2 linked regions of the Macaca fascicularis genome follow. The protein of the gene in region 2 interacts with the protein of the main gene of each other region in a pairwise test. Links are inferred from orthologs where the notes say so. Each region holds a gene or a part of one and is shown on either strand. Other genes may lie near its edges. The genes, in order: LRATD2 and UROD.

The links.
Region 1: the proteins of UROD (region 2) and LRATD2 interact in binary tests that used the Homo sapiens proteins (3 or more experiments, as listed by UniProt). The two-hybrid records come from large-scale screens. The link is inferred for Macaca fascicularis from reciprocal best matches to the Homo sapiens genes UROD and LRATD2.

The regions. Positions count from the first base shown.
Region 1 is NC_088382.1:136,230,601-136,235,110, reverse strand, and holds the start of LRATD2 (protein LRATD2), read left to right. Parts: upstream 1-1,445; 5' UTR 1,446-1,805; intron 1,806-1,907; exon of another isoform or gene 1,908-2,089; intron 2,090-2,349; 5' UTR 2,350-2,445; coding exon 2,446-3,378; 3' UTR 3,379-4,510.
Region 2 is NC_088375.1:189,720,759-189,725,137, forward strand, and holds the start of UROD (uroporphyrinogen decarboxylase), read right to left. Parts: upstream 2,976-4,379; 5' UTR 2,910-2,975; coding exon 2,890-2,909; intron 2,317-2,889; exon of another isoform or gene 2,274-2,316; coding exon 2,161-2,273; intron 2,049-2,160; coding exon 1,969-2,048; intron 1,893-1,968; coding exon 1,830-1,892; intron 1,612-1,829; coding exon of another isoform or gene 1,593-1,611; coding exon 1,395-1,592; intron 1,273-1,394; coding exon 1,111-1,272; intron 748-1,110; coding exon 610-747; intron 459-609; coding exon 358-458; intron 263-357; coding exon 196-262; intron 1-195. Other genes in the region: E3 ubiquitin-protein ligase HECTD3, read left to right, coding at 3,971-4,339. UniProt on the Homo sapiens protein: Catalyzes the sequential decarboxylation of the four acetate side chains of uroporphyrinogen to form coproporphyrinogen and participates in the fifth step in the heme biosynthetic pathway.

The sequences.
Region 1 (4,510 bases), on a different chromosome or scaffold from region 2:
CCCCACACCATTTGCTATCAAAAGGACTGGGGTGTGGTGGACTCATTCGGTCACACGTGCCTGAGGCCAGCCAGTCGGAAATTATTGAAACAGAATCTCACAGCACACAGTAGTCTCATGTTGATCTAACTTATACTGTGATCTCAGACTTGCTGAAGGACTAATTTCTATCACAGCCCTGCCAATATTGATTGCTTGGACTCAAAATTACATAAGTAGATTGATTTTTATTTTTTTCTCTCAAACTGGAAAGGATCACAGCAGTGCTAGTATATTCCTGTTTCCACTGGCTGGTTATACACGCTGGAAAAAATTAGTTAAAAGAAAGCAATGGAAGACAGAGCTCAGGTCTTGAATGGCATTTTTAAGTCCCCCACAGATAAGTTTGGGTGCTTGCAGTTGTGCCTAAACTTGTTTATTGTAAACAGAGCTGTCAATCTTCCACCCCCACCCGACCCATTATTTAAAAAATATAAACAACAACAACAACAAAACCACTTTGGTAGCCTACATTTAGGTAAAAGAAACGAAACCAGTGGGGAGGTGGAAGTGTCCTTTTGTGGTGGAGGTTAGTAGGCAGTACTGGTCTCCTGTCACTTCCCTAAGTCAACAGGAAGGAAATATATGCACCAGGGGCCTCTGCTAATTTGTTTCTAATTTAAGGACAATTAGGCAATTCCTACATCCCCCTAACCGCACCCCCCACCAAAAAAAAAAAAAAAAAAAAAAAAAAAAGCAGTCAGAGCTGCACGCTTTCTCTCACCATCCAACGAACTGGTACCCCTCTGGAAATACCAGAGGTTATGAACTTTGTACTAACTTCCAGGGACATCTAATAAATAGAGCGGTGGTCTTGGGACCCAGTCAGTGAATAAGTCTTCGTTCTGTGTTATACTGTTTCCTTTCTGTGATTTTCTTTTCTACCCCAAAGTTTCCCACTACTAACTCTGAAAATACCTTTAAAATAAAGCACTCTTCGAGCTGTCCTAGTGAAGAATCCTTTCTTGTGACCTTTAGGGCAAGAAATATGTTCCAGGAAAGAAAAGAAACGACTGTTCCTCCGTCTCCAGATACTCTGGGAAAAAAGAGGTGAAAGGGAAAAGACGCAAACACCAAACTCTCCTTCCCTTTCTAATTTCCACACTGGCAAGTTGTGTTTGCCTTCTAACTTCTCCCGGAAAGCAAGCGGAGTTCACAGCGCCAACCCTAGCCAGCGGGTGGATTATTTACCGGGGGATTTAAACCCGCTCCGGCGTGGGGGCGTGGCCAGGCGGAGCCCCGCGGCCTGAGTGGGCGGGGCGGGGGGCGGGGATCCCGGCGGCTCGGCGCAATGTGAAAAAGACCCGAGCTCGGGGAGTGAGCGCCTGTCTCTTTAAATGCCACGGGCTGCACTCCCGCCCGGCAGCCGGGAGCCGGATCTACAATCCCGTCCCTCCCGCTCCGGTGCTTGTTGCTCGCCCGGCCCGAGCGGGAGCTGTTGGCGCCCGGCTGCGAGGCTGCGGTCTTCTCCTTCCGCGCGCCCCACCTCCCCTGAGAGCTGGCTGAGGAGGTGCAGCAGCCCCAGCTGGCGGGAGGAGGCGCGGTGTGAACAGGGATTGCCCCCCGCCTTCAAGTATCCGGGCGCTACGCAGCCGCTGGGGAAAGACATGCCCCCAGTCTACCCGCTGCGCTGCCCTCTGCCCAGCCTCGCTGCCGCCCGCGCCGGGAGAGGGACTGCGGAGCCTACACCTTCAAACTCGTCCTAGAAGTCTTGGGGCGCGGCAGGGAGCCCTTCCCCAGGCCCCACGGCCTCTACCTCTCCGCGGGTGAGTTTGCGCAGGTAACCCGAGCCTGAGGGCGGGCGCGGGGGAAGGGCGGGCGAGCCGGGAGGAGGTAGCGCTGCAGGTGAGCCAGGTAGGGTGACTCACCTGCCCAGGTCGCGCTCTGAGATCCTCGCTTGTTCCTCTGGGGATGGATGCGTTGGTGGGGAGGAGGCGTCCCAGGGGCTAGTTAGGGCCCGAGGGTGGGAGGGGAAGTTAGCAGAGGAGGGGGGATTGGAGTAAAGTTTCTCTTTCCTTCCCTCTTCCTGTCCAAGCTTGGCAGGTAGGGCGCAGGCGGAAGCTGTAGAAGCTGCTGATGCAATGGGTTTTGCCAGGGCTAGGCGAAGGGCTGGGGACAGGGAGAACTGGAGTTGCCCAGTCTCCTGTGACCGTGACCTTAGAGGTGGAGAAACGAGGGAAAGCTCGCTACACCCGAAACTCCCCCTAAAATGGCTCCAGGTGCTGAGCCCCCACCGGTTCTTTTTCGGAATAAAACGCCCTTTTCACGGAGGGGCTCCTACATGGCTTTCTTGCCTTCCTCTCCCAACAGGTGGCTTCAGCCCCTGTCCGGGGACCTGTGCAAATGACCCTAGAGGTGGTTTCGCTTTCTCCCCTCGCGGCGGTGTGAACGTGTGTCCGCAGCGTGATGGGCAACCAGGTGGAGAAATTGACCCACCTAAGTTACAAGGAAGTTCCCACGGCCGACCCGACTGGCGTGGACCGGGACGACGGGCCCCGCATTGGGGTCTCCTACATTTTCTCCAATGACGATGAGGACATGGAGCCGCAGCCGCCGCCTCAGGGGCCAGATGGCGGCGGCTTGCCCGACGGTGGGGACGGGCCGCCGCCGCCCCAGCCGCAGCCCTACGATCCGCGGCTGCACGAAGTGGAATGCTCCGTGTTCTACCGGGATGAATGCATCTACCAGAAGAGCTTCGCGCCGGGCTCGGCGGTGCTGAGTACCTACACACCTGAGAACCTGCTCAACAAGTGCAAGCCGGGCGACCTGGTGGAGTTCGTGTCGCAGGCTCAATACCCGCACTGGGCGGTATATGTGGGTAACTTCCAGGTGGTGCACCTGCACCGGCTGGAGGTGATTAACAGCTTCCTGACTGACGCCAGCCAGGGCCGTCGCGGCCGCGTGGTCAACGATCTGTACCGCTACAAGCCGCTAAGCCCCAGCGCTGTAGTGCGCAACGCTCTGGCGCACGTGGGCGCCAAGGAGCGCGAGCTGAGCTGGCGCAACTCAGAGAGTTTCGCCGCCTGGTGCCGCTACGGCAAGCGCGAGTTCAAGATCGGCGGCGAACTGCGCATAGGCAAGCAGCCCTACCGGCTGCAGATTCAGCTGTCGGCGCAGCGCAGCCACACGCTAGAGTTCCAGAGTCTAGAGGACCTGATCATGGAGAAGCGACGCAACGACCAGATCGGGCGCGCGGCCGTGCTTCAGGAGCTCGCCACGCACCTGCACCCAGCGGAGCCGGAGGAGGGCGACGGCAACCTGGCGCGGACTACGCCGCCTCCCCGGCGCCCCCCTGCGCCCAGCTCGGAGGAGGAGGACGGAGAGGCGGTGGCACACTGATGGGCGAGCTGAGCGCAGAGCTGCGAAGGGGAACTGTTTGCAGTAGCAGCCGCTGCCCCCTTTCTCCCTCTCTTCCTCCCTCTTTTGCCACCGTCTGGGCCCCATCTGGGATTCCTGGGCCCTTTGGAAAAGAGTTGGTGAAATGCGCAGCCGGCTGTGGACAGGGGAGGAGGAAGGGGACAGAGGGAGCAGGTAGGAAACGCTTTAGTTGGGGGTGGGGGGCGTCTCTCTCTGCCCCCCTAAGTGTGTCTTCCTCTCCGCGGTGAGGCAAACTGTGGACTTGCCTGGCTATTAAACCTTGGTAGATCTGGGTTTATAATCGGCCATTCTTAAGCACGTGGGGTTGGGGAAAAGTCCGGAGCACCCATTACTGCCATTGCTTCCTATCCTGGGCTTGGAAGAATCCTGGTACAAAGGCCAGAGTGGGTTTGTGGAGTCGCCACCGAGGTACCAGCACAAAAGCTGCTTATCTCCTTTGGCGGAGCTGAGCTGTATGTGGGATCCAGCGGGGCTGGGGTGATTTATTTTATGGGATTCCTGGAGCGCAGGGCTGGTGAATCCATGACAGGGTCTGGGAGCAGCAGACCAAAACCACAGCAGTCTCCTATGAAGTTTAACAAATAGTTAAGCAAACTCGGGCTACAAAGACTTTGCTACCTCCCTCCTCCACAACCCCCAAGTAATTAGTCTTCTGGAGCTGGCTCTTAGCTGAGGCTCCTGCTACCTCCTGCTCCACCTGCCCCTTCCTAGGTTACAAGTAAATCATTGTCAAGGGCCAGCCAGGAGAAGATTTCAATTAAGGTTCTGTTCTGCTGCCTTTGTTTCTCCCCTGCTGTTGTAGGCACTTACAGCTGCGTTGTTATGAAAGGAGGGAATAGCCCTTTGTGTCTTTGATCTAATTAAACCTGCTCGGCTGTGTTCATCCGCAGGGCAGGCCACAGATAGGGTTGGCTGTGCCACTCCATAAAGTATCTATTGTGGAAGCAGCCAAAAAGGACTGCCCTGGCAGGAATTGGTTAATCTCTCCTTCCACTCCCTTTCCTGAATAGTGAAGGGAGCCCTTTTAAAACAAGGCTTTGGTGGTAATCCTGTAATTTTTTTTTTCTTCCCCCATCCCTTCACTGGCCCATCC
Region 2 (4,379 bases):
CCTAGTCTGGACATGAAGCATAAATACAAATGAACAACAGCAACAAAAAGTCCGGTCTTCCTAGGGCTTATGTTGTACATACAGAGTAGAAGAGAAGGACAGACAGACATTTAAAAAAGAAAAGCACACAGAATAATACAACCACAGCCACAGGAGTGCACCGTAACAGATACACAGAGGGGCCCTGTCTGTTACCTCTGATGCATACAGGGCACAGGGGTCCAGGTTGCCCTGCAATGTCACCGTCTTCCCCACACACTCCCTGGAAGCAAAGCCAGCGCCACGTTCTGGTAACCGCATACGTGGCAGCTCCACACCCCCACCTCAACCTCAAGGCCTCACCCTTCCATAGCTTACCGGGCTTTCTTTGGGGCCACTGTCCAGTCAAGCCCAACCACCTCATAGCCAGCCTGGGACAGCTCCTCCAGGGCAAAATGCCCATCCTTAGCAAAGATGATCTGGAAAAAAAGCAGATCTTAGGCTACAGAGGGCCTTGCTAATCTTTCTTGACTGTACTTCTGCTGCCCTCCAGTGGTCACTCCAGTCCATGCAGGACTTAGCCTGAAAGCTCCACAGGCCCACCTTCACTCAACCCATCCCAATCCTCACCATGGGCACTGGTGCCAGGCCTGCCTCCCGCAACCTGGCCTTCACTCGCTTGGCCACATCACGGATGTAGGGCAGTGCAAACTTGTTGAAGAGCTGTGGGCCAAGATGCCCTGCATGGGACTCAAACAGCTGCAATGCCTAGTTAGGGTATGGTGAAGACAAATATGTAACAAAGAGGAAGCTCCCCCCACATACAAAATCCACCTCAATTTTCCCCAAATGACTTCAATCCCTGATACTGCCTGACCCTATAAATCCAGTAATTAAAAAAAAAAAAGTTTTACTTTCTCCAGATCCCAGCACTAGCTTTGGTCTCTGAATACTCAGAGCATTAAGCCCCACTGCCAGTGTCAGGATGGGCTTGGCTGCTCAGCTAGATCACTGGAGGCCAAGGTTCTTTCATCCCTGGCATTAAGACCCCTGCCCTCTCAGGTTTAGGACACTTGCTTCTCGTCCTTACAGACCAAATCTCAGCCTATTTCTCTCTCTCTCAGGACTCACCTGGGCACCAGCCGCCACTTGTCCTACCAGATATGGGACCAGAGCATCAGTGAGGATGCGAAGCAGCTGGTGACTAGCCTGAGGTCTCTGATAGAGCCAGCGCTTGGCCTGAGCCATGGTGCTTGAGCCACCACCCTCAACCATGTATGTCATCAGGGTCCACTACAGAAGGATAGAAAGATGGTGTCACATGTACAGAAGCCAGACTGACCCTTCCTTTGTCTACCCCAGACCTGCCAGAGTGATTTTCCCACGCCGCCAGTCCCTGCCCTGTCCCACATTACTGGGGCACCAGCAAAGCCAATCAGCGGCACACGTCCAGCCAGTCGTTGTCGGGTAAGGGTGATGGCTTGGAACACATAGCCTAGCTCAGAGGCTACCACTGCTGGATCCCGTAGGCGTTCTAGGTCCTGCTCTTCTCTTAGTGGCTCTGGGAAGCTGGGTCCTTTGCCAGGTACCATGGTCACCTCCATGCCCAGTGCCTGGAGGGGGAGAAAACATCTGGGTTCCCAAAATGGAATCCAGGAGGAAAGGTTCTGTTCAGCTCATTCCAGAAGGAAGGAAAAGGAGAATAAAACTGCCAAACTCCATCTCTTTCAACCTTAGTTTTTCCCTCGATCCAGTTAGGATAAGTGCTTATTGTAAACCTTGACTGGACTGATAGAAGGATTTTCAAGGGGTCCTTGGATTATATTCCAGGATCAGATTTGAGTAGGTACCTGGGGTACAACAAGGATGTCGGAGAAAATGATGGCAGCATCCAGAGGGAAGCGACGCAGTGGCTGTAGGAAACAGGAGACGGGTTGCTAGGTGGCAGACTGAAGGCATAAATCTTTCCCTCTTTTGTGCACCCCTCACCTGCAGAGTCAGTTCACAGCAGGCCTCAGGAGAGCGACAAGTGCTGAAAAAGTCCTGGGCAGCCCGGGTTTCCCTAAACTCTGCATACAGAGGGAAGACGGGGCTCAGCCTTGAGGCCCTCCAGAGCCCTCCCCTGCCCCTTGAAAACTTTTCGCCTTCCGGAGTTTTATCTAGATTTCCAGGGCCTCTTACCTGGTAAGTAACGGCCTGCCTGGCGCATGCACCAAACGGGAGTGTAGTCTGTTTCCTCTCCCCAGGCTGCTCGCAGGAATGTGTCATTCTTCAGCTCCGGAAAACCCTGAGGTCTGGCAATCAGGTGGGGGTAGGGGTAGGTGTCAGTATGCTAGGCTGGAGGTTGGGTAAAGTGCGGATTCATAAGGCTGATTTAGTCGAGGACCGCTATCTACCTCCTCCAGGCCAGCTCCCAAACCCTGGCTTTCCGCCCGTTCCGCCGCCTCTCTGCCTATCAGGTGGTGCACAAACTCTAGAAGGGCCCGCCCTGGGGCCTCTTCCCTCCACTTAGTCCCTACTCTCCCAAGCTCGAAGCAACTAGAGGGACTAGGGGGAGGAAATAAGGCCCAGGAAGGATAGTTTGGGGGTCTTCGGACTACGGAGTCTCAGAAACGGGAATGTCACTGGGCTGGTTCAGAGGCTGAGAGATCCCCAGGCTGGGGGATAAAGAGGGATGAGAGTTGATGGTCCCAGAATAGAGATCCTGGTTGGAAATCCTGAGGCATCCCTTGAATTAAGGCCCCTGGGATGAACGTCTCAAAAATCCATGGTTTTAGGATTCAGGATCCCAGCTAACAGAGTCCAGGTTGAGAGATCTCCAAGGTGGGGAAAGGGGAGTACAGGGATAGAGTCCTGAGTTGGAAGACTCAGAAGCTCAACTAGCCACACCGCGTGCTCTGGAGAACTCACCCCAACCCGTTCGCTTCCATGGTCAGCTGTCTGTAACTGCGAGCTCAATTCGCAACTTAACCTGAATGTGAGCCTGCCCCCACCCCGTCCAGGCTCCGCCCCTTTCTGTAGGGAATCAAGGGCGTCGCCATGTTGAAGATCACATGATCAGACTCCCGCGACAGCTCCAGGGCTGCCCTGGCTGCTGCCCGTAGGACCCCTACCTTTTTTCACCGTAAAGTCCGCTGTAGCGACGCAACAACAAACGCTGAAAAGAGAACTCCGCTGTAACTGTATGTTACGGTGACATGAGGAATTTGTTCTCATCTGACGGTCTGGGTATCCGGAGGCTTGGCTCAAGTCCCACTCATGATTCTAATAGTCTTATTCAGCCAGGCATACTGAGGATGATGGAACCAGGCTGCTCAGGAAACTGAAATCGTCATATACTTACATTACCTACTAAGAGCCTGGACCTACAGTAGGTGTAGAGGTTAGCTCTGCTCAAGACAGCCCCGGTCTTTAAGAAGCTATAAGACTGGGAAAACAGAAATCAGTAATCACATTAAAATGAATAACGATTACCAGTGTCCTTGGGATTAGGAGTGACAAACAGAACCCGAATGACTCAAGACTCCTGTCAGTGGCAGGGGAAGGAGCCATTGTCTCAAACATTTTAGTCACACCACCTATAGGATAGGGAGTCCAGCAAATTCGTTGGGAGTGGGAGGAAAAAGAGCAGGCCGAAGAACCAGAAAAATGTTGGCAATGATCCAGGCCAGATAGAACGGTTATTGAATGAGGGTAGTAGCAGTAGAGATAAAATGGTAGTAGCAAGGAAATGGAGAGAAGGAGATTGATCAGGTAGAAATCACCAATCTTGGGTTTGGTCGGCTGGGTTAGGGTGGCACAGAGGTAGGTAATATGATTGAGTGTAGGAGTACACAGTGCAATACGGTGAGCGCTGGGTGCGCTTAGTCCAGAACATACGGCGAAGGCTGGCCAAAGGCGGGGCAGGGCGTGGTGGGAAGCTCCGTCCGCGGTCGCGCCAGCTGTTCACCGGGTAGGATCGCCCTTAGGCGCTCACCTCCGCCACTTAGCCATGGCGGGTCCTGGCCCGGGCGCGGTGCTGGAGTCCCCGCGGCAGCTGCTGGGCCGCGTGCGCTTCTTGGCGGAGGCAGCGCGGAGCCTCCGCGCTGGGCGGCCGCTGCCGGCAGCGCTGGCTTTCGTGCCGCAAGAGGTGCTCTACAAGCTTTACAAGGACCCGGCAGGACCGTCGCGCGTGCTCCTGCCCGTGTGGGAGGCAGAGGGCCTGGGGTTGCGTGTGGGCGCCGCAGGCCCAGCCCCCGGAACCGGCTCCGGGCCCCTCCGCGCCGCCCGCGACAGCATCGAGCTCCGGCGCGGCGCCTGCGTGCGCACCACGGGCGAGGAGCTGTGCAACGGCCACGGGCTCTGGGTGAAGCTGACAAAGGTGAGCTCTTCCCCACCCAGGACCAGGTAAAAGACCCCCG